Saccharomyces cerevisiae S288C: one gene and its partners. The protein of the gene in region 4 interacts with the protein of the main gene of each other region in a biochemical or structural test. Each region holds a gene or a part of one and is shown on either strand. Other genes may lie near its edges.

Region 1 (7,239 bases), on a different chromosome or scaffold from region 4:
AGATACTTTAGAGCATTATGATTTGGAAGACTATGTTAAAGTGCTCAGTATTACCAAGAACCCGGATGTTCCTTCAGGGAATATCTTTTCAGTGAAAACTGTTTTCCTTTTCTCTTGGGATAAAAACAACTCCACCAAATTAACAGTTTACAATTCTGTTGATTGGACTGGTAAAAGTTGGATCAAAAGTATGATTGAAAAGGGAACATTTGATGGTGTTGCGGACACCACAAAGATAATGATATCTGAAATTAAGAAAATCTTAAGTGATGAAGACTCAAACATAAACTCAAAGCATCAAGCCAGCAATAATGAATCAGAAGAAGAAATTATTAATCTGCCAACTATTGGACCTCCAGTTCATGATCCGACGGAACCTGATTTTCAAAAAGGAAAAGACGATACAGTTATCGATGAAAAAATTAATATACCAGTTCCTTTAGGAACAGTGTTTTCACTATTGTATGGTGATGACACATCATATATTAAGAAAATCATCGAAAACCAGAATAACTTTAATGTTTGTGATATTCCAAAGTTTGTGAATAACGCAAGAGAGATCACCTATACCAAAAAATTGAACAATTCATTCGGTCCGAAGCAAACTAAATGTATAGTCACAGAGACCATCGAGCATATGGATTTGAACAGTTTTTTTATGGTAAAACAAATAGTCAGATCTCCGGATGTTCCTTACGGTAGTTCATTTTCAGTACATACGAGATTTTTCTATTCCTGGGGTGATCACAACACAACGAACATGAAAGTTGTCACCAATGTTGTCTGGACAGGTAAATCAATGCTGAAAGGAACCATTGAGAAAGGTTCAATTGATGGACAAAGAAGTTCAACAAAGCAACTCGTAGATGATCTCAAAAAAATAATTTCTAATGCTAGTTCAACGAAGAAAAAATCGAGGAGAAGAGGAAAGACGGTAAATAAAAGGAAATCATCACCATCCACTATCAAGAATGAGAAGAATGAAGAAAACTTCGAAGATACAAGTACCAAAAATTCATTTTTTTCCGCTTTCTCAATGTTACAACAAGTAAACATAACATCCGTTCAAGGAATTATGACAATTATCTCTTTTTTTATTTGCTTGATTTTCTTCTTTAGATTATTATTCCATTCTAAGAATACTTCGAACATCCAGATTATTACTCCAGGAACAATCTTAATTAATGGAAATGAATATAATTACGTTCCTAATTTTAAAACACTCTATCATGTTTACGAAGATAATATTATAAAAGATGCCCGCCGTAAAGACTCGAATAAAAATAACATAGTCACCGATACGGAGGGTCTCATATGGGACTGGTTGATAGATCGTGGAAATGGAACCGTTCAAAATAGTGTCTTGTCCAATCATATTAAGGAGAGTAATAACAAGAAGGTTAAGCTCGTAAATGGAGTTAGTGATCATAAAATACAGCAGCTAGTTGAATCTATAAAAATCACCGAATTGCAGCTGCAAGAAATGAAAGAATTATTGGCCCAAACGGATAACACGTCGGCTACTAACCAATTACTTTGATAAAATAACATTTTTCGTTCTAATATAGTCAAGTAGGAAAATTCTACTCGACTTTATTTTGTTCTTTTGATCTTATTTCTTTTACTTTAATTATATATAGGATATTTTCTTAGGATAATTGTAATAAAATGCATTAATAGTTTTATATGTCCATTTCTGGTGCATTACTGGACATAATTTCAGTTCCTTTCACCAAAGAATTTATAGCCTTGGAATATTTCCATAATTTGTCCCACCGGGTAATGTGCGTAATGCAATAACATATAGCATCTATATCTGGTAAGCGTAGAAGAATTAACAAACCTAAGAATAAAATACAAATATGTTTACAACCAAAAAATCAACTTAAATAGATGAAGAGCTCGCATATCAATTTTAACAGACCTCGCTGAAAGACTCTGAATCCTTATCTTCTTCATCTATGGACATTGCATCTGATTTCTCGTCAGGTAAAACAAAACTTACATTTTTTGCTACAGTTGACGTGTCTTGAATACTCATGTTTTCCAGGTTTTTGGATGTGTCAATTTGCTCCGCTTCTGATCTCGTTCTTTTCCTTGAGTTACTTTGCTCTGTTGTATTGTCAACTGCCGAAATATTAACAGTTGTTTTAGTCAATTCTGTGTTATTTCCATCAGTTATATCAGCAGCGTGTTCTATGGTGTCATTTGAAGATTTATTGAATGAATTCCCCAAAATAGACGAGTATTGGTCATTCGCAGTGTTGTTCTCATCTTTTGTCTGAGTTTCTGACCTTTCATTGATCTCTTCAATCAGCGAATTCAAATTATTCCTTAGCTTGTCCAGAGCATTTTTGCTAACATTGTCTAAATTATCATTTTCTGCAATATCGTCAGAATACTCAAGAAGTTCTTTCAAAGTAGAATAATCTTGTTCAGAAGAAAGAAATATAGCGTTTATATTAGTGATGATCATCTTCTTTATTTCTTTCTTCTCAATTTGAGCGTATATTTTGAGCACATCGATCAAGAATGTAAGCTGCACTGTATCTTTTTTTGTTGAACCTGTCTGGTTAACTAAGTTACGTGGATCAGTCCAAAATAGCAACTGTTGAAATATTATGTTAGGCTTTAGCATAGCTTCACGGTCTACCTCAGGTATTACAGAGCTCTGTAAATCGTCCCAAAGAACACATAGTCTTAAGAGTATGTCCGCAGCCGTCCTAGACATACGTTGTTGATGAGCAGGATGTGAAAAACAATAGACTGGAATGCAGAAGGCAAATGCCTGTACCAGCGCTTCGTTTGAGGAATTTATCGGCGAAAAATATGACAAAACCAACGTTTCAAACAAATCATCATCAGTGAACACGTCTGCCAAAAATAGTTTGCATAAACCCTCCGCTGCTATCACCTGACATTCCGGTAAACCGTTATTCTTTAAAACCTTGTAAAATATTTTGTGCAACGAGATTGAGTCAACTTTGCCTTCTCCGTCTACCACAGTGTTCCCATGTACGGAAAAAATATCTACAATGACTTGTAACGCAATATACTTTAATGATGCATTACCTTTCGAAACGCACATACCTAAGATGTACATGTTATCAATAGCCAACTTCACATCCAAGAGACAACATAAACCAAGGTTCTTGACACCAAGCTCCCTAATATTTGGCGCGGTATTTCTAACCGCTGGTGTGATCAAAGTGTCCATCAACGACGCAATTAAAATGTTTTCTGTTAACGGTGTGTTAACTAGTTCTAGCATATATGATGACCTTGTAAGACAGAGAACAATTGTTGCTGAGGACGCTTCCTTTTCGGGTGGGAGATTATTTATTATGTCACTCTCAGATACGTTGCCGTTTCCCTGCACTAAGTTTTCTACAGCAGAATGGAAGGATGAAATATTGTCGTCTTCTTCATCCTCGTTAACTTCGTCATTATGTGTGCCGTTTTCGTCCTCTTCATCGACGGAAGTCTCATTTCTGCGATTAATCTTCTTGCTTTTTATTTTCTCTTCTTGTTCTTGTTTTTCAATATCGTCGTCTCTAATATCATTAATGATTTCTATTGCCATTGTTACAAAATCTTTTTCATTTATGGACAGACTTTTCATTACACGAATACCAATTTTAATAAGAGGTTCGGAGAGTGTAGTTAAGGCCAGCATATTTCGTACCACTGTAAGCATCGATCTCCTTCCAACCTCATCGCTATAATCATACCTTTCGGCGGCAATCGATAGTTGCTCAATAATAAACTCTAAAGTGTTATAATCAAAATGCGACTGAGAGTCATTAGAAATGTCGTTGTGATGATATCTGAGAAGAATATAATGGTTTAAATGCTCGGATAATTTTGAGGCTTCTGGAAAGTTTTCTTCCAGCATTTCTGTTATATTATTATCCAAACAGTACAAATAAATAGCCCGAAAGAGGAAGGCAATTTCTACGGTAAAGTCTTTCCAAATACTTTCAGGAAATTTGATTTTAGATAATATATCTGGCCTTGATTGAAAAAGTGCTTCTATAGCCTTAACACACACTGAGGATCTTGAGACATCCAATTTTTCTAGTAATTCTATCAAATCGCCATCCAGAGCATTTAACCAATCATGAGCAATGAGTCTCTTACACGCATTTCTCACTGATAATTCCCTATCTTCTAAACCCCACTCAATCAATTGATCAAAAATATGCGGCTCAATATCATCGAAACACTTTCTTCCCATTGATTTCAAAATTCTCGAATACACGAGCCTTCTATTAACGATGTTTACATCTCTAGCCCTCTCCAAGATATACGGTCTAGTATTATTATCATTGATCAAATTCAGCATTGCAGCCCTCCGTACTTCAGCTGACGGATCGTTCTGGATAGAAGCAACTAGAGTTCTCGTAGCTTCAAAATTTTCTTCATTATCAGAAAGCTCAGTTAAATGTTCAGTTTGCTCTTCATCCTGAAATTTAGTTAAACAAAACACAGCCTGTATCCTAACCGTTGGTTCTCTATCATAAATCCTCTTATTTAAAGACAATATTAATAAATTGAAAAGTGATTCATCGATTTCCCCTATATTATCCATTATAACGGCTAATAACTGTAAAACTCTAAATCTGACGTTCTTGTCAGGGCTTTCCACACCACGCAAAACATGTCTTATGAACTGATCGACGAACCTTGAGAATATCCCTTCTTCATCATTCGTGAGCTTATAGTTTTGTTTTTTGGCCAATATCAACTCCCTTTCTAAAGAAGCTATAAATGCAGCTACTAACTTTACTATCCTGTCTCCGATAATCTCATTCTTTTTCAGAGGAAGGATCTTAGTAACTAATTTATCGAACCAAAAGTTAAAAGCATCTTCATAGCCTTGCTCAACAGCCTTTGACTGAATTTTCTTCAAAACTGCTATATGCTTCCTGTGTCCTGCATAAGAACCCTGTGCCTTTTGAAATACTTCAGCAACTGAGTTAAAGATTTTCGTATTAATGTCAATACCATCAGGATCTTGCATGATGGGCGCGGCCTGTTAACTTCTTTGTCTTATCCAAGGCTGTAGGCATTACTGAAGTGTTTTTGTTTGATCTTCAAAGAGCTAAAAAGGTAAACAAACACGAAGGCTCTACCCTTTCATATGCGGTGCACGGATTTTAAAAGTCGCAATAACTCAAGAATACGATAGATGCAATAAATCAGAGGTAAAGTGCTTTAGGCTAATACTATGAGCAATTCAGTATAACCTGCATTATCTCCTTGTTTTCCTTTGTATCCCCCATGATTTTTTTTTCTTGTTATTCCTCTTGATACCATATTAGGCAGGATTTTTTTCAAAAAACCAAATGAAAAATTTTCAGACTGACAAGAAAAAAGCTACGAATGAGCTCATCGCTACTTTCAGTTTTAAAAGAAAAGTCAAGAAGCCTGAAAATACGAAACAAACCGGTGAAGATGACCAGTCAGGAAAGGATGATAGTGCATAGATGCAGATTTGTGGATTTCACTCCTGCCACAATCACATCTCTAGCATTTTCACATAAATCAAATATAAATAAGTTAACTCCGTCCGATTTGAGATTAGCTATTGGTAGATCTAATGGTAACATAGAAATCTGGAATCCTAGAAACAATTGGTTTCAGGAAATGGTTATCGAAGGTGGCAAAGACAGATCAATTGAAGGCCTTTGCTGGAGCAACGTTAACGGCGAGTCTCTAAGGCTATTTTCTATTGGCGGCTCGACTGTGGTAACAGAATGGGATTTAGCAACAGGTTTACCATTAAGAAACTATGATTGCAATTCAGGTGTGATATGGTCTATTTCCATCAACGATTCACAAGACAAGCTGTCTGTGGGTTGCGATAATGGGACGGTGGTCCTCATAGATATCTCTGGCGGGCCTGGTGTCTTGGAACACGATACTATTTTGATGAGACAAGAAGCCAGAGTATTGACTTTGGCTTGGAAAAAGGATGACTTCGTGATTGGTGGTTGTTCTGATGGTAGAATAAGGATTTGGTCTGCACAAAAAAATGACGAAAACATGGGTCGTCTATTACACACTATGAAGGTCGACAAGGCCAAAAAAGAATCAACTCTAGTTTGGTCAGTTATATATTTACCAAGAACTGATCAGATTGCCTCTGGTGATTCTACAGGCTCCATTAAATTCTGGGATTTCCAGTTTGCCACGCTAAACCAGTCATTTAAGGCGCACGATGCAGACGTACTGTGTCTAACTACCGATACTGATAATAATTATGTTTTTAGTGCTGGTGTGGACAGAAAAATCTTTCAATTTTCTCAAAACACTAACAAATCTCAAAAGAACAACAGATGGGTAAATTCTTCTAATAGGTTGCTTCATGGAAACGACATTAGAGCAATATGTGCATACCAATCTAAAGGTGCAGATTTTCTAGTTTCAGGAGGTGTTGAAAAAACACTAGTCATCAACTCACTTACTTCTTTTTCTAATGGAAACTACAGGAAGATGCCAACTGTCGAACCTTATTCAAAGAATGTTTTAGTTAACAAAGAGCAACGCCTTGTTGTTTCATGGAGCGAATCTACTGTTAAGATATGGACAATGGGAACCGATTCTAGTACAGAACAGAATTATAAGCTAGTTTGCAAGTTAACTTTAAAAGATGACCAGAATATCTCAACTTGTTCTTTATCACCTGATGGACAAGTTTTAGTCGTAGGGAGGCCCTCTACCACTAAAGTTTTTCATTTACAGCCCGTAGGTAATAAATTGAAAGTGACTAAACTAGATAATGACCTATTATTGAGAACTTCCACAAAATTAGTCAAGTTCATCGATAATTCCAAAATTGTCATATGCTCTTGCGAAGATGATGTATTTATTGTGGATCTAGAATCTGAAGAAGATGAAAAACCGCAAGAAGTTGAACTTTTGGAGGTTACTTCAACTAAGAGCAGTATCAAAGTTCCCTATATTAACAGGATCAACCATTTGGAAGTAGACCAGAACATTGCAGTAATTTCTCGTGGCTGTGGAGTCGTAGACATATTAGACTTAAAAGCAAGGATTTCTAAACCACTTGCTCGTTTGAATAATTTCATCACCGCTGTTCATATCAATACTTCTAGAAAATCTGTAGTAGTAATTACTGCAGACAATAAGATTTATGAATTCAATATGAATTTGAATTCGGAAGCCGAGAATGAAGATAGCGAAAGCGTATTAACTCAATGGTCAAAAAACAAT
Region 2 (5,316 bases), on a different chromosome or scaffold from region 4:
TTCTATAAAGATGTTAATGCGCCAATACGCGCCGACGGGGTAACGCATTAAAATAACATGGTATTTTCGTTTCATTACAAAAAAAGCACTATATGTACTAATAATTATGCTACACTTGTGTTTATATTGCCAGCGTCGATGTTGATGACAACGCAGAGTTCATACGGTTTTGGTTTTGGGCTTCACTTGTCTCAGTAGGTTGAGGGTTTGTATGAAGTTTCAGAGGCTCCGTTAGTAAATGACCCATTCTTTCTATCTTGGTCCTGAGATAACCTTCTATCTCCTTGGAGTCTATGCCTTCACTGGAGTTTGTCCAGTGTATGGGTACCATAGGCACTCGTTCAACGCACTTAAGGTAAGGCGCATGATCTACCTGTTTTATCTTTTCCGGGTTATTTGTCAGCAGCCTGACATTACCGATGCCAAGATCCAGCAAAATAGCCTTACCCAGCGAGAAGTCCCTAGCATCCACGGGATGTTTCAGCATTAAGTTGGCCTGCACTGTGTCAGCACCTAAGTCTTGCAGGTTGTAGGCCTTGAGTTTCTCACCTAACCCGATGCCACGACCCTCTTGTCTTAGATACACGATAACACCATGGCCGTTTCCACCTTTGATGTTGCTTGTGGGTTCGTGGTCGCAAGCGATAAGCCTACCGGCCCTATCGAATTGTTCACCACAATCACAACGGGCGCTCCATGCGTTTTCACCGGTGTAACATTCAGAATGGATCCGTACCAGCGTGTCGTTATGGGCGTCCCATGTAGTGGCTTTGGAAGCTAATAACTCACCTGTACTATCATCAAACTCCAGAGCTAATCCGAGTCTATCGTCTTCGTCTGCCACAGTTCTGCCGGGATACAGTTTGCCAATATAAGCGCCCCTGATCATTCTATCTTGTTGCGTCTCGCACTGTCTTCTACGGAATAGCGAGCGCGACCGTATGTCTTCACCAAACACAATGGCTAGATGTTCCTTGTTGTCCCTGTTGTTACTGTAAAGATGTAAAAAGATATCCGGACCCTGTGTGGTTGGGATACGAGCTCTTGCGACACATTGTACTAGAGGCAAGCCGCCATCGCCGTTCCTGCCATCACCCGTACCACTAACCTCGTATTTGCTGCTATCCTGTTTACTGTTGTCGTAGTTATCTATGGTCATCCTGTAGGTTTGTTGTAGTTTTATGTACGCCACTTTTTGTAATGACTCAATTATTGTCCACGCCAGCACAGCAACTTCTTTATATATACTATAGCGGCGCTGGCGCTCACCCCACAAGAGCGTCCGACTAATTTCTGACAAATCGTAAAAAGAAAAAGAAAAACTCAAAGGAAAAAGAAAAAGTCTCACCCTACACAACTTGTTTTCAAAAACGGTATAGACCCTACTATTTCTGTTTTAGCCCTATGCTAAGTCTAGACATTACCCTATCCCTTTTAACGAAAGCCCTTTTGTTTTTTTTCTGTGTGTCCGGCCGCTCAGCCAAACAACAAACAAGACTATAATCTGGAGCATAAGTACCCGAGCATATATAACTACTTGGCATACGAAGTAAAAGCATATTGCTCCCCACTCCTATCGCGCGTCCCCTGTACAACAAAGCATCAACTTATCGGGTAACTTAGAGACAGCATTAGTATATATACCAGCCATGTCACAGTTCTTCGAAGCTGCTACTCCCGTTGCAATTCCCACAAACAATACCAACGGCGGCTCCAGTGATGCCGGCAGCGCCGCCACTGGCGGCGCCCCCGTTGTTGGCACCACCGCTCAACCCACCATCAATCACAGGCTTTTGCTGTCATTGAAAGAGGCTGCCAAGATCATTGGCACTAAGGGCTCCACCATCTCACGCATAAGAGCTGCAAACGCCGTCAAGATCGGTATTTCTGAAAAGGTGCCCGGTTGCTCTGACAGGATCCTGTCCTGTGCTGGGAACGTAATCAATGTGGCCAATGCCATTGGTGATATTGTTGACGTGCTTAACAAACGGAATCCCGAAAATGAGGACGCAGCTGAGGGCGAAGCGGAAGAGCACTACTACTTCCACTTTTTGAACCATATTTTACCAGCTCCCTCAAAGGACGAGATCAGAGATCTGCAGCAACTGGAGGACATCGGTTATGTGAGGCTCATTGTGGCCAATTCCCATATCTCATCGATTATCGGGAAAGCAGGCGCCACCATCAAGTCCCTGATCAATAAGCACGGCGTTAAGATCGTGGCTTCCAAGGACTTCTTACCTGCTAGCGACGAGAGAATTATCGAGATCCAGGGTTTCCCAGGATCCATCACCAATGTACTTATCGAAATTAGCGAGATCATCTTGAGTGACGTTGACGTCAGATTCAGCACAGAAAGATCTTATTTCCCTCATCTGAAAAAGTCCTCCGGTGAGCCAACTTCCCCTTCTACCTCATCTAACACTAGGATCGAATTGAAGATTCCAGAACTGTATGTAGGCGCCATTATTGGCCGTGGAATGAACAGAATTAAGAATTTGAAAACTTTCACAAAAACCAATATTGTCGTGGAAAGGAAGGATGACGATGATAAAGACGAAAATTTTAGAAAATTCATAATCACAAGTAAATTTCCTAAGAATGTCAAACTTGCTGAGTCCATGCTTTTGAAGAACCTGAATACTGAAATTGAGAAACGTGAAAACTACAAGAGAAAATTGGAAGCTGCCGAAGGAGATGCCACTGTTGTTACTGAACGCTCTGATTCTGCTTCTTTCTTGGAAGAGAAGGAAGAACCTCAAGAGAATCATGATAACAAAGAGGAGCAGTCGTAGTATATACGTGTGCGTGCGCACGTCCCACACAGACAAAACAAACTATCATCTTAACGAATAATGTTGCATCATTACTAGTTTAAACTGTATTTTTATTAAAGGGAAAAAAATGATTCAATATGTATATATTTATTCATGTATATGTATTTTGAATTAAAAAAAAACGTTTTATAAATACTCAATAAAGCCGTTGTATTTTCTTTATTACTATCGAAATTCTTGCTTTAAACATTTCGCGCATCGCCGGCTAGAGGCACAGAGAGGGAAGGGGAAAATAACATGAAAAAATCGTAAGTTTCTAGGCAATGGTATAAACAAATAAACAATAAACATGCAATTACAGCTCTAGAACACATATTATCTTCATGGATGAATGATAAACTCCAAGAAGAGCATAACGAAAAAGACACCACTTCACAAATTAATGGTTTCACGCCGCCGCATATGAGTATAGACTTTCATTCAAATAACAATAGCAATATCATCGAGACTATTGGCGTTTCCAAAAGATTAGGAAATTCTGTATTAAGTGAACTGGATTCTAGAGCTAGCTCAAAATTTGAATTTTTAAAAGATCAATCCGAACAACAATACAACGGCGACAAGAACAATGAACCAAAATCGGGCTCGTATAATATTAATGAGTTCTTCCAAGCAAAGCACGACTCTCAATTTGGCCAGATGGAGTCGCTAGACACACATTATACCCTTTTACATACGCCCAAGAGAAAGTCACAACATGCAATCCCACAGGATCGATCGGATTCGATGAAAAGGTCGAGACCGTCCCGCTCAATTCCATACACTACACCAGTGGTAAACGATATCACAAGAAGAATACGAAGATTGAAATTACGGAACTCATTGGTTAATGGTAATGACATAGTGGCTAGAGCGAGATCTATGCAAGCAAATTCTAACATTAATTCAATAAAGAACACACCATTGTCAAAGCCCAAGCCATTTATGCACAAACCAAACTTTCTAATGCCCACTACGAATTCTTTGAACAAGATCAATTCCGCTCACCGTAATACATCCTCCTCTTCGACAGCTTCATCGATACCAAGATCTAAAGTACACAGATCGATATCAATAAGAGATTTACACGCCAAAACCAAACCGGTAGAACGCACGCCAGTTGCGCAAGGAACAAATTCGCAATTGAAGAATTCAGTTTCCGTTTTTGATAGACTTTACAAGCAAACAACGTTCTCTAGGTCGACGTCTATGAACAACTTATCGTCAGGAACCTCTGCAAAATCCAAGGAACACACAAATGTAAAGACTCGGTTGGTTAAAAGTAAGACAAGTGGTTCATTGTCCAGTAACCTTAAGCAAAGTACTGCCACCGGCACAAAGAGTGATAGACCTATTTGGCGGTGATTAAGTAATAAAAAAATTGCATTTTATAAGAAACATCATGTGATGACATTTAAAAAGTGGGAAAGAATACTACTAATATAAAACTATTTACTGGATATTTAGAATTTTTTTTTTTTCTTCTTTATACGTAAAAGTTGTTCAAAAAATTTCATCGTTTTCTTTTTTTATGAATCTTTGATTCTTGTTGAAAAGAATTTCTAAAAAAATAGGAGGATAATAATATTATCAAAACAAATCGTGTCACTCATTAAACACCAAAAATCCAAAGAAGAAAAAAAGGAAAATGTGAGAAAGAATTTAGATTAAGAATCAAGCCAGATTAGACTTATTTGAACTTCTTACCAAACAAGATCATTTGCAGTTGGTCGTACATTGAGATAACACCAGCACCTGCGACACCTCTTAAGATGTTAGCACCACAACCCTTGAATAGAGAACCAACACCTTCAGCAGCAACAATCTTCCTCAAACAGTCAAAGGCACCGTCGTACTTAACAGCTTGACCGGAGGTCATCATCATTCTTCTTCTAACGGTATCCAATGGGTAAGAACATGTAGAAGCACCAGTAGTAACAACCCAACCCAACAAGAATGAAGCCAAGAATGAACCTTCCAAAGAACCAGTCAACAATAGAGGCTTCAAAGAATCGTACATACCGAAGTATAGACCTCTGTAGACAACAATACCAACGACAGAAGGTAAGAAACCTCTGTAAAGACCAGCAACACCATCAGATTTTAAGGTCTTCTTGTAGACATCGATCAAACCGTTGAATTGACGAGCACCACCCTTTTTAGAGGACTTGGAGTCAGCAGCCAATCTAGTTCTTGCATAATCCAAAGAGTAAACAAATAGTAATGACAAGGCACCAGCAGCACCACCAGATGCCAAGTTACCGGCAAACCATTTGGCGTAACCTTCTTCCTTCTTGAAACCAAACATGGCCTTGATCTTGTCCTTGAAGGCGAAATTCAAAGCTTGAGTGGGGAAATAACGGATAACGTTAGCAGTGTTACCTCTCCAGAATGAGATAACACCTTCCTGTGTAGCGGTTCTCTTGAAACAGTCTAAGATACCTGCGTATTTTCTGTCCAAAGTACCTTGTTTTAACATTTCATCTTGGTTTTGGATCAA
Region 3 (6,315 bases), on a different chromosome or scaffold from region 4:
TGGGGTGGTCCAGAATACTTAAGAAACGATGTGTATGACTTAGAGCAACATCTAAAGCCTATGGGGATTACCAAGATGTTGAAAAGTTTTCTTAAACTAAGCCCTAATGTGATTATGTTTTTGCCAAGGAACTCTGATTTGAACCAGCTTTCTCGAGCTACGAGGAAAGTACTAGGTCCATTTGCCAAATGTAAAGTATTATATGTAAAGGAGAATGGATATATGAAAGGAATATTTTGCATGTGGGGGGAATGCTTTTTTAACTACGAACCAGCAAGTACGGAGAATAGTCGAAGGGAGTCGTCCGAAAAGGAAGAGCTGAGTTCTGAAAACGAAGAGCTCTCGAAAAGAAAAAAGCATGAATCCACAACAACGACCAAAGATAATACTGTAGACATTTACGACGTAAATGGTTAAACACTTGTTCAAGTTGAATCGTATGATAGAAAATGCAATGACTATGTTATGAATGTATATATAGCACATAAAGAGGATCGCTTACGTGAATTTGGGAATAATTAAAACGTTCTTTTAGCTGCGGCTGCTCGTCGATAGGAGTGATAACAAATTAAGAATTAGAAGGGATGTCTTTTTTTTCTACCAGCAAGTTGCCACGCGCTTCAGACTTTAGAAGAGGTAGTAGCAATCCCTTCGAATGAGGTTCGATTATATCTCTCACCATTCCACGATTTATCACGGAAATACCATTCAAAAATAAATAAGGCGACTGAATGGATTCCAAGGCAGCACTAGTATCGATATTTAGTTTATTTTGTTTGATATACTTTTCTAATTCATAGCCATGAGAGTGTTTTTCCAAATCAACAGTGGCCAATTCGGGTGAAATCTCAAATTCTCTTTGTAATAGATTTTTTAAGAAAATGGAGTCTGCTTGTGATGATTTAATGAATAATACCGCTGGAGAGGTTCTTATTATATCTAGAAAATCTGTTCTAGGGTCGAATTTTTTGTGATCGCAGTTTTTCTGCAAGGCCAGAGAAGATGACCGTGGATTTAGTGTTGTTGTGGTCGTCGCCGTCACGACATTATCAGTTTGGAACGATCTTGAAGAAAATTTTGATGTAGCTTTGGATGAGGGTTCTGGGATGTCGACTTCAACCTCGCTTTGAATATTTGAAATTTCTTCTTTGACTTTTTGGAAATTTAGTTCATTTTCATTACTTAGAAAACTGTCTGCTGTCTTTAATAAGTTTGGCAACTTGTAAACGAACTTCTTTTCACTTTCTTCCTCACTATTTTTTTTGTTTTCGCTAGGGTCAGCAGAGTTGTAGAATTCCAAGGAGTCATTCCATGTAAGTAGTAAGAAGCTAAATACGCCAAGCAAAACGAGTGTTAGCGATATTATTCTCGTACTTCTCTTGATTGCTGTGTGCTTTTTCAAAACTGATGAATCCGCTATCATCTTTAACTGTTATTTTCCTTTTTTTAATTGCTCTTTACTGTTCTTGGAACAAGAGATTATGAAGTCTATAAAAGAACATATATATAAGTATTTAAGAGATAAGCCTGATTCAAAGACGTTTGCAAGTTTCAGTCACTTGGCCTTAACAATCTTTATATATTAATCCCTTTAGTACCTGCACAATTAAGGCCGAGACAGACTCGAAACAACCCCAAAACTTCTTGATCTTTATTAGCTGATGCCAAATTTTTTGGTACCACACTGAAACGAACTTCGTAAATCCATTATTTGTGTATTTTCTTAACGAGAAGTGCCTAAAAACTGCCTTTTATGCGCTGTCTTCTGAGAATAGATCCCGTTCAAGGCAAGCGCCGGGCAAGCGGAGGCGCAGTCTACAGAACAATCCGCACAAGGAAAAAAGCACCCGAGATCTGGGACCCTCACCTAATCATTTATCGTTATCCACGACAGGGTGCGGTGATTGCTGTGTATTAATGAGTGGTTTCAAAGCCCTATCCCGCAGTCGTTTGGCACTCTGCAGGGCCTCAATCATTTTATCCTTCCTCTCGAGCATCTTCTGTAATTCGATCACTTCAGTGCCGTCACACCCAGTTAGCGACATTGCAGTATGACCACTTTTTTCTAGCGCCATGATCTTGTCTTCAAGTTTTTGAGTGTATTTCCTATATTGCCTTATTTGTGATTCCAAACCTTGGAACTTTGTTTCCAAAAGGGTGCCGACCTCAAAGGGAAGCATTTCTACAATTTCCATAATCTCAGAATCTTGCAAATCAACCACATCTTTATCTAGTAGTTTTTCACAATTCTCTAGTTTATATTTTAATACTCGATTCTCCGCTCTCATTAGAGCCAAATTCGGATCACCATCATTGCCGGTGGCTTTAATGTCTTTATAAGTACTTTCATTGGAAGATTTGGTTAAGGGCTCGCCAATGTTTGAACGGTTCTTCAATTCAGAGATCATCCTACGTTGTTCTTCCAATTGGCGTCTCAGTAGCTCAATGGTGCGATCTTTATCTCCATCGTTATTCCCGTTACTGATGATGGATTTTTTGGATACATGAAGTGCGACGTTTTTCGCTCTTGATGCAAACCTCAGCGTATTCATAGTTTCCGCTGCCGCATCATTTCTGGTGTCGACTGTACATATCGTTGTCACTATGCTGTCACCGCTTAGTGCCGGCTGCAATAATCTAGTCAATTTAGAATCACGATATGGAATGTGGTTGCTTGGGCTAGTGCCGTTATTGGTAGCATTTCCACTACTGCTGCTACTGCCACTTGCAGATGGCGAGGGAATGTTTGAGCCTACTGAGTTCATCTTGTCGGCACTGAGTTTGGATATCACAGTCCCCAAAGCAAGTAAGGATTTGTTGATGAATGAACCTTCCTTTCTCCTCTCTTGTTGCCCCGTAGCCCTTTCCGAACCTGCTAGGTCACACAACGACAATGTACTCGATCTTGAGGTGCCGTTCTTTACGTTAGTACTTGTTAAACGAATCAGTACAATGGCATGAGATCGTGAGCTTCTTGCATTGTAGTCAGTTTCGCCAATTTTCCTACTTTTGTCACCAACTGCAATCCACCTCAATAATTCTTCACTACTTTCACATCTTCTTTCGGTGAGACCGATAACTTTGACCCCATACTGAGAGTCATCTCTGATTTTTAATTCTACGCCCAATCCATTGCTGTTGCTCTTGCTCATATATAACCTTGAAGGAGTACTGATTCTACTACCGGATTCTTCTAATCCGCTTTCTAACAGGTCGTAAATCCTTTCATTGTAAATTTCGAGGTACGATATTATAACGTCGAACTTTTTATCGCCATTCATTGATTGTTCCATGATATTGGTAAATAAATACGACACAGATAAAGGAATTAGGCCTAGCTCTTGTTCATTTCCGCTCATTGTAAACGTTTTACCTGACCCGGTCATACCGTACGCAAATATGGTGGCATTAAACCCCATCAATAACTTATCAATCATTGGTTTACTGGTTCTTTCATAAACTTCCAAATTAGTGCAATGGGAAGCAAAAACATGATCGAACTTGAACTCTCCAATTTCTTCATGCACTATTGTTTTGTCATTAGTAATAAACCAGGGGTCTCTAACAAATGTATTGCTACCGTGATGTGAGTTGGATCTTGGTTGAGAGTACCTGGGCGATTTTAGCCCCACATGGTCACGGGAAGTTCCAACGCTCCGTGGTTTCGGCCGGATGGTCACAGTGATTGACCCAGTATATGTATCGTTTTTTCTCGAGTTGTTGTTAATACTGTCGCTCCGCCTGATCCTTATCCTACCTGGGTGAAGGAAGGGATCGGATTTGGCTGATACGGATCTTAGTGGGGAGTTACTTCTAGTGGAAGATGCAGAAATCGACTGAGAACCCGAATTAGAGGTGCTCCGTATGGAGTTTCTTGTCAGATTAGAAAACGATGAAGTTGATCGTACAGAGGGCGATTGTGGGATATTACTTGAACCAGAACTAGACCTCGTTGATGGCCTCCTTAAGCTTGGGCTCATTTTTTGAATCATCAATGGTGGTATTATGGTAAGAATTTTATCAAGTGTTCTATGTTTGCCTTGATTTCAAATGTTTCTAGAGCGCAGCCTGTGAATCTCTGCAGCCTATTTCTTTTTATTTTTCGCTTCTGCTTACATTGCTTTATTATCAATTGTTCCGCTATTGGAAAAGGATAAACAAGGAAATTCTCGAGCCGCATCATCGGGCTACCCGCATATAATGACATTATGGGCAGCAGCATAGAACAATGGATTCTAAAACTGAGGACAAGATGGTTTGTCTTGTTTTTTTTTTTTAAATATACTATAGTTTTTTTTATTGTTATCTACTTATAAAAGCTCTCTAGATGGCAGAAAAGGATAGGGCGGAGAAGTAAGAAAAGTTTAGCTCAAATTGCTTTGGCCAAACCAACCGCATTGTTGCCCAAATCGTAAATAGAATAGTATTTACGCAAGAAGGCATCACCAACGATGGCCAGTGGGCCAACAGGTTCTGGGAAATCCATTGGTGTAATTGCAGAGATACAGGAGCCTGAAACTTCAAGCGTGTAATCGTATGGCCCAATAGTGAAGTTGTAGCCATTGAAGTTGAAAATTAGATCAGGTAGATTGTCTCTGGTGTTACAGTCTAGAGTATATTGACCGGTCCAACCCTTCTTGGCCCCAATTTCAGCATTAATCATTTCAGCTAATCCTGATGGCAAGGTAATCAAAGAAGTACCAGTATCGATGGCGGCACCATGGCTCTCCAATTCGGCGTACTCGTCGCCTAAACCGATACCTTCAAACTTGACTTCCCAGTAAGCCTTACGACGAACAGGTAACCAAGTGATATCGCCCTTGAACTTAGACTCGTCAATACCACCAAAGGTGGCTTCACCGCCATTTTCAGTATCCTTTGAAGTGTCTCCCAAATAAAAGGCAAATCTCTTTTCGTCCAACAAATCTTGTTGAATGGCGTTGTAAAATGGAGGGACCACCTTATCAACAGAAATGGTATCGTAACCCAAACCCAAAATACCATCGAACTTGCCAAATGCAAATGTTAAGCCCGGCTCGCTGGTAGCCTCAGCGAAGTCTTGTTTTGGAATGGTCAAATCCCCGATGGACAAAGTGTCTTGAGAAATGTAACCTTCCAAAGAACCAGTACCATATTGAATGGCAAATTCAGTACCATTAGCTTTGTAGCTTGATGAAGCTTCATGATCGTATTTAGAATGTAGGAAACAAGCCAAGGAACCACATTCGTTACTTGGAACCCAAAGGTTTGAAGAACCAGTATCCAAAATAACCTTGAAGTTTTGAGGTGGAGTACCCAAAGTAATGTCAGTGTAATATTGTGCGTTCAAGTAATTTGTCAATGGAACATCGTGACCACCTTCAGTGAAGAAAGGATGCTCCCTAGAAAAAACAACTTCGGGGTTAGCTTTCTCAAATTGAGTCAAGTACTTTTGGCCTAAATGAGCTAAATGTTGCTCGAAAGTGACTTCTTTCATCTCATCGGACAACTCGTGTTTATAAATTTTAGCCTTGTGGACTTTTGCAGCAACTTGGTTGGCGCTGACCAACAACAAGGCCAATGGCAATAATGCTTTCAAGCTGAACATGTTAGTTTTGGTTTTTGTTTGAATTTTATTTGGATTAAATACTAGGTCACTAGGCTTTTTTTTTTTCTTTTCTTATAGAATTCTAATAGAAAAAACTTTTTATGAATACAGTAGGGTGAGATATACTTTTTGTTATTCTTCCCTTACGTGGTAGGCTTCTCAAATAAAAATAGAAAAGACCACTAAAATTTGATTATAAAGGCTTCGCTCAAAAAAGAAGAAGGTGGAATGAATAAATAGCAGCGAATTACCCAAACTTCTTTACTCTGTTCCCTTAACCAGTTGATAAGAGGTTACGAAGTACGGAAGTATGGCTTTTTATATAAATCCTAAAAAGGGCCGCCTCCGCCCCTTAATCCATCGACACCCGCAAATGAAATATAGTACCCGGAAGGCATAAGACGGGTTACAGCCTCTCCATAGATTCAATAACCGCTTTTGGTTATAGAAATAATCAGACCTCAGCAAATACAATTGAGGAGCTCAAGATATTGAAAACGGATTAACAAACTTTTTAAAATTATTTATGAGCTTGTTGTACCACATCAAGCAGGATTATGTTTTTTTCAGAACTTCTTTTTCTGATTCAAAAATTCATTAAGCATAACTAAAACTGAAAATCAAAACTTATTAATATACAAAAATCTATATATTTCAAAATGTAAATCGTATCAAAACGTCACTCTATATGTAATAAAAACCCAAAAAGTTATGAATAGATGAATTCT
Region 4 (5,585 bases):
TGTTGGTAACATTTTCCAACGGAGCAAATCTGCAATGGGATGGTGTGTTATCCAGGAATGGGCGGCACACATTGCCATAAACGGGACCGGGACTGGTGTTTGTTCTCTTGCTAGTATCCAAGGGTTCAGAAGGTAATGTAGTATTTGAGCAACGGACTTCCATAGGCACGTGGACATAAAATTCTTTGTTTATGGCAGCCTGCGCAATAGAATGATCCAATGAACGTAAGACTTCCAAACCATTATCCATAGGGCACCCCCATTCATCAACAAATTGTGAAAACAAACAGTCCATATTAAATCCGCTGATAGAATCGGTAACATTAACATCACCAGTAGAGCTCTTCTCCAATTTCCCGTATTGCCTGTTGAAAACGAACTTTTCCACAAATGGGGTTAATGGCGCATAGATTTTGGTAGAGATCCATAATAGAGTTTCGTAGAAAAATCTACCCAGCTTGGTACCCCACCATGACTTGGCTGGACCATTTTGGGCATCTGTAGTTTTGTTACCCCTCCATAGAACACATTTTCTAGTATAAGGGTACCACCAAACTCTGATAAATTCAGATGAAGTCCATAGGGTATCCCATTGCTTCAAAAGGTTTTCAAAAGTAATCACTTCTTGAGTGGATTTAATATTGAAGCCGGGAACAACCCTGATAGTAGCAGAGACAATGATACCAATTTTTCCAACTGAAAGTAAAGCAGCTTTAAAGACTTCTGGATCGTTTTCAGCATCCAAGAACTTCAATTCGCCCTTACCATTAACAATAGTCAAGTTTACGTATTGAGAAGAAATCAAACCGTGATAAGGTGAGGAACCATGACTACCAGTAGAGATTATGCCAGCAACACTTTGTTCTGAGATAGAGCCTAAATTTTGGATAGAGTAACCTTTCGCACCCAAAAATTCATTCAATTGGTAAAGCCTCATACCGGCATCAACTGTGACATCGGCATAATGTAACTCAGGATATTCAACAAACTTTTGTACTTTGTCCAATCTGTCTAAGTTAACAAGCCATTCATCAGTAACGCACATGTTACTAGGAGAATGGCCCGAACCAACAGTAACTAAGCTTTTTTCAGCTAGCCTGGCACTCTTTACTAACTCGACAACCTCATCAATTGAACTTGGTTGGAAGTAACGTTCTGGTTTTGCAGAATAAATTCCGGCCCAGTTTTTGAACACATAGTTCTTTCTAAATGGGATAGTAGACATGGGGTGAAAAACCTGATAATATCGGTAACTTTAATTTTACGGGTTCTTGTTTTACCTTCTAATGAATTTTAAGTTTTGAAAAGCAGAAAATCAGATATTGAAACTATAGATCTGCTTACCTTGAAGTTCACTATTTTTGGAATTCTCCTTGCTAATAGTTACTTCTACTCTTGCTTTGTCCTGGATATCAATGGAAGATGTCCTCATTTCCATTTTTTTTTTCAATTCGACGGCAAGGCGGGAGAAAAGGAACTAGGGATACAAAAATGCAATTACTAATGAAATCCGTGAAATAATCATGGAAATGGGTGATGTAAGAATCTGATGAAACAAGTACAAATGTCTTTGGCCCATCAACTACGATGAGACTTACTAAGCTTTCATCAAATGCAGGTTAGAGAAGGAGAATGGTTTTTTTTTTTATTTTTTGTACATAGATATTAGAGAAATATAATAAGTAGATTATAGATAAGATATCACCAAAGAGATATAACAGTAGGGGGAATTTTTTTTTTTACAATATACTTGAAATATAGAAAGGATAAGGAGGTTGGGGGCGAGAGTGAACCTTAAAATTCCTCTTCCTCAGCGTATGAGTCGGCACCCACTTCGATGTAATCTCTTTCTAAAGCAGCCAAATCTTCTCTAGCTTCGGTGAATTCACCTTCTTCCATACCTTCACCGACATACCAGTGGACGAAAGCACGTTTGGCATACATTAAATCGAATTTTCTATCGATTCTCTTCCAAGCCTCAGCAATGGATGTGGTATTTGACAACATACAGACGGCCCTATCCACAGTGGCCAATTGTGAGTTTGGTGTGGCAGTTGGAGGTTCGTAGCAAATACCGATCTTGAAACCAGTTGGACACCAATCAACCAATTGGACGGTCTTCTTGTTTTTCACCTGCTCGACAGCTCTTTGAACATCTCTTGTTACCACATCACCCCTGTATAACAGACAAGTAGCCATGTATTTACCATCTCTTGGATCACACTTGACCATCTGGTTACCAGGTTCAAAACAAGCGTTTGTAATTTCTGACACAGAGTTGGACTCATGGAATGCCTTTGATTTGGATAAGACTGGAGAATATGAAACTAAGGGGAAATGAATTCTTGGATATGGAACCAAATTGGTTTGAAATTCGTTCAAATCTACATTTAATGAACCGTCGAATCTCAATGATGCTGTAACAGATGATACCACTTGAGCAATTAGGTTGTTTAAGTTTGCAAAGCTTGGTCTTGGGATATCCAAGTTTCTTTTGCACATGTCGTAAATAGCCTCATTATCGACCATGAAAGTACAATCTGCATGTTCCAATGTAGTATGTGTAGTTAAAACTGTGTTGTAAGGCTCAACCACAGAAGTAGACACTTGTGGAGCAGGGTATACGGCAAATTCCAGCTTGGATTTCTTACCGTATTCAGCGGATAGTTCTTCCAACAGTAAGGACCCTAGACCGGAACCAGTACCACCACCAAGAGAATGGGTAAACAAGAACCCTTGTAACCCATCACATTGGTCTGCCAGTTTTCTAATCCTATCCAGAACATCGCCCAAAATTTCTCTACCAACGGTGTAATGGCCTCTTGCATAATTATTAGCCGCGTCCTCCTTACCACTGATCAACTGTTCTGGATGGAACAAGTCCTTGTAAGGACCGTTACGGACTTCGTCAATAACGTTGGGCTCTAAATCCACGTAAATAGCCCTTGGAACGAACTTACCGTAGCCGGTTTCATGGAAAAACGTGGAGAAACCCTCTTCTCCTCCCTTCGGCTTTGAAAGGCCATCTTCTAGATGTCCATCCGGCTTAATACCGTGCTCAAGGGAATATAATTCCCAACAGGCATTACCAATCTGACAACCAGCTTGACCGACTGTAAAGAGAAATCAAAAAAAAAAAAATTTTGCGTTGAAGTTAGTAATGAAAGATGAAACGCCAAAATGAACTAACAAAAAAAAGATCTAGCCTGGACGGGCAAATCGAACATACCATTAATACTAATAACTTCTCTCATTGTTTGTTTGCAGTTGTAAGTTTACAGATCTTGGGTGGCGAGAACTGTTGTAGACGGATATACTGAATTGGGTAAAACGATATAGTAGATGTTTTTGTTTTGTTTTGTTTTGTTTTGTAGTTTAGTTTTTCCCTTGGCTCGAGGCGTTTTCGCGTGGCATAACCCGGCCGGAAACTACGGTGATATTATCGTCTGGCACATATATATATATATATATGTAAACTATACTTATATTAATAGTTTCCGATCGTCTTATTACTCACTTACTATCAATGGAAGCACTATTTCATTACTTAAAAAATACTTTCTATTGCAGGATCTGAAACAGTCAGTTATAATGGAAAAAGTATGCAATTGTGTTTTCTTAAAGAAGGATACAGATATTTATATATGTTAGTTCCTCTGGAATATATCGCTAGATGCATTAAACATGAAGAAATTTGCCGTATGAATTATTCCTGTATGTACACCAAATGTGTCATGATCTTCTTGTTTCTTCAATGTGGCGCTGGCATTCGAGAGTGATGATGCTTGGTGTGAGCACTTGAAATGTCTCCTCTTTAAGAAAGACAATCCTATCCTTTCATGATCAAGGGCTTCTAAGGCGTCTCTCAATGCCAATTTCAAATCGGTAGGGTCTGACACGGTCTGGTAGCATTTATTAATGCAGTGGGTAAGGAAGAGGGAGGGCTTGATAATGTGGTTGGCTGAAATCGGATGGCAGTGCCCGCCATTGATAGACTCAAATTTTACTGTCTTCGTACAGTGGTTGAAGGTCAGTATGAGTTTTGACTCGCAGATCAAATGTATTTTGTACTTTTCAGGAGTCCTTGTTCTTTGTATACGCTTATTGCTGAGTTGCTCGTGAACATTCATCTCACAAACGAGTTCGTACTTGTTCTTATTGATTTTCTTTGTCCTGTAGATGAAACTAATGAATGAATATACTCTAACGAACTGCTCAAACGACAGGGTACATAGGAACTCGAAGGAGGATTTTGGATGCTTGAAAATAAAGTCCCTGAAGTTTAGAATGTTGTTGATATTTTCGATCTCGTCCTTGTTTACTGGATGGTGATATTCCTGTGCGCATGCAATTAGTTGTTTACCAGACCTAACTTTGCTCAATTGTGCCTTTGTTTTTGCACAACCAATGTAGTTTGGAATCTTCCTAATTAATTCCTCGGTACTATCTCGCTCAACATCACGGCCGCCGCCATTCCCGATCACAATTTTGGGCAGGATAGGATGTGAAACTCTGTCCTCTACTGTGCTGGGCACAGGCGACGGTGGTAGTTTCAAATCTGGCAGCTTTATGGCGACCGGGGCCAAAGGGGGTGAGGGAGCCGTTGCTTCAAACTGAGGTCTTGGGGAGGTCATAGGTGTGATAATAGGCATCATTGCGGCATGATTTCGTACAGCGACAGGGATAGTGACAACCTGTTGTGACCAATGGACGGGCGTATTTGTGCTCATAGAAGGCAATATGGGTGTTGGCAAGCACCTGGGGCTGGAGTACCCAAATGTCAGCGAATGTTGTTGATCTAACGCCAATATGATTGGGGGCAGAACGGGCGATAGGCACTGCCTGCCTGGAGGTGTTCTGGGAACGTGCGCCTGGTTGTTGTTATATACATGTAAATAGTCCATTGAGTCTTTACCAGGTTCTATCTTAACTAAAGAACTACTTCTACACAAGACTTAAGGCACCTTCATACGAAAACCCTCTCCACGATGGCGTTCAATCTTTCGTCTTTATATACATATGTTACTTTATATATTTATATATTTACGTATACACCCGAATGTATTTATATATTTGTATGCATATGCCCACACGTATATGCTCAAGAGTAAATTCTCCGACCCGTTTAAAAGCAAGCACACGTCAAGGTTTGCTGTCTCCACTCGATTCGTACCGTTCCTGCGGTACTCCTAGGCAAGCAGTTAGGCCCTGCCATTCACCCACTCAACAGTTTTAACAGTATACGACTGCAAGGCCATCGTTTACCGGCAGGGTCTATTGTTCTGCGCGTTCCTTATTAGGCACCGCCAAAAAAACCCTTGAAATTTTCGTTTAGGTGCCGGCTCGTTAAGGGCCCTTTTGCTCTCGCATAACGCAGGCACAGGTCACGAACTGCGGTGCGGATACCCTCGATTTAAAGACAGGCAGCAGGTGAAGATAATACCATGCTCAACATGGACGCCAAGGATAGACGTGTAAGTTTAAGTTTCTCTCGTTGTATCGACTGACCTCTTTAATAGCAGTCCTTACCAAGTTGAAAAACCACATCTTCGTGTTACCCGACTACCTGTGCGATGCCGTCTGGA

What was found.
Region 1: the proteins of TUB1 (region 4) and YCG1 form a complex in vitro, tested with the Saccharomyces cerevisiae proteins (one study listed by BioGRID).
Region 2: the proteins of TUB1 (region 4) and SHE1 form a complex in vitro, tested with the Saccharomyces cerevisiae proteins (2 studies listed by BioGRID).
Region 3: the proteins of TUB1 (region 4) and KIP2 form a complex in vitro, tested with the Saccharomyces cerevisiae proteins (one study listed by BioGRID).

What each region holds. Positions count from the first base shown.
Region 1 is NC_001136.10:1,114,910-1,122,148, reverse strand, and holds YCG1 (condensin subunit YCG1), read right to left. Parts: upstream 5,024-7,239; coding exon 1,916-5,023; downstream 1-1,915. Other genes in the region: YSP2 (Ysp2p), read left to right, coding at 1-1,540; small subunit rRNA maturation protein UTP4, read left to right, coding at 5,386-7,239. UniProt on the Saccharomyces cerevisiae protein: Regulatory subunit of the condensin complex, a complex required for conversion of interphase chromatin into mitotic-like condense chromosomes.
Region 2 is NC_001134.8:158,535-163,850, forward strand, and holds SHE1 (She1p), read left to right. Parts: upstream 1-3,164; coding exon 3,165-4,181; downstream 4,182-5,316. Other genes in the region: RIB1 (GTP cyclohydrolase II), read right to left, coding at 122-1,159; HEK2 (Hek2p), read left to right, coding at 1,650-2,795; ADP/ATP carrier protein PET9, read right to left, coding at 4,507-5,316.
Region 3 is NC_001148.4:255,345-261,659, forward strand, and holds KIP2 (Kip2p), read right to left. Parts: upstream 3,993-6,315; coding exon 1,872-3,992; downstream 1-1,871. Other genes in the region: TGS1 (RNA methyltransferase), read left to right, coding at 1-417; pheromone-regulated protein PRM4, read right to left, coding at 569-1,423; PEP4 (proteinase A), read right to left, coding at 4,370-5,587. UniProt on the Saccharomyces cerevisiae protein: Required for assembly of the mitotic spindle.
Region 4 is NC_001145.3:96,147-101,731, forward strand, and holds TUB1 (alpha-tubulin TUB1), read right to left. Parts: upstream 3,255-5,585; coding exon 3,230-3,254; intron 3,114-3,229; coding exon 1,795-3,113; downstream 1-1,794. Other genes in the region: ALO1 (D-arabinono-1,4-lactone oxidase), read right to left, coding at 1-1,225; YML083C (uncharacterized protein), read right to left, coding at 3,648-4,904. UniProt on the Saccharomyces cerevisiae protein: Tubulin is the major constituent of microtubules, a cylinder consisting of laterally associated linear protofilaments composed of alpha- and beta-tubulin heterodimers.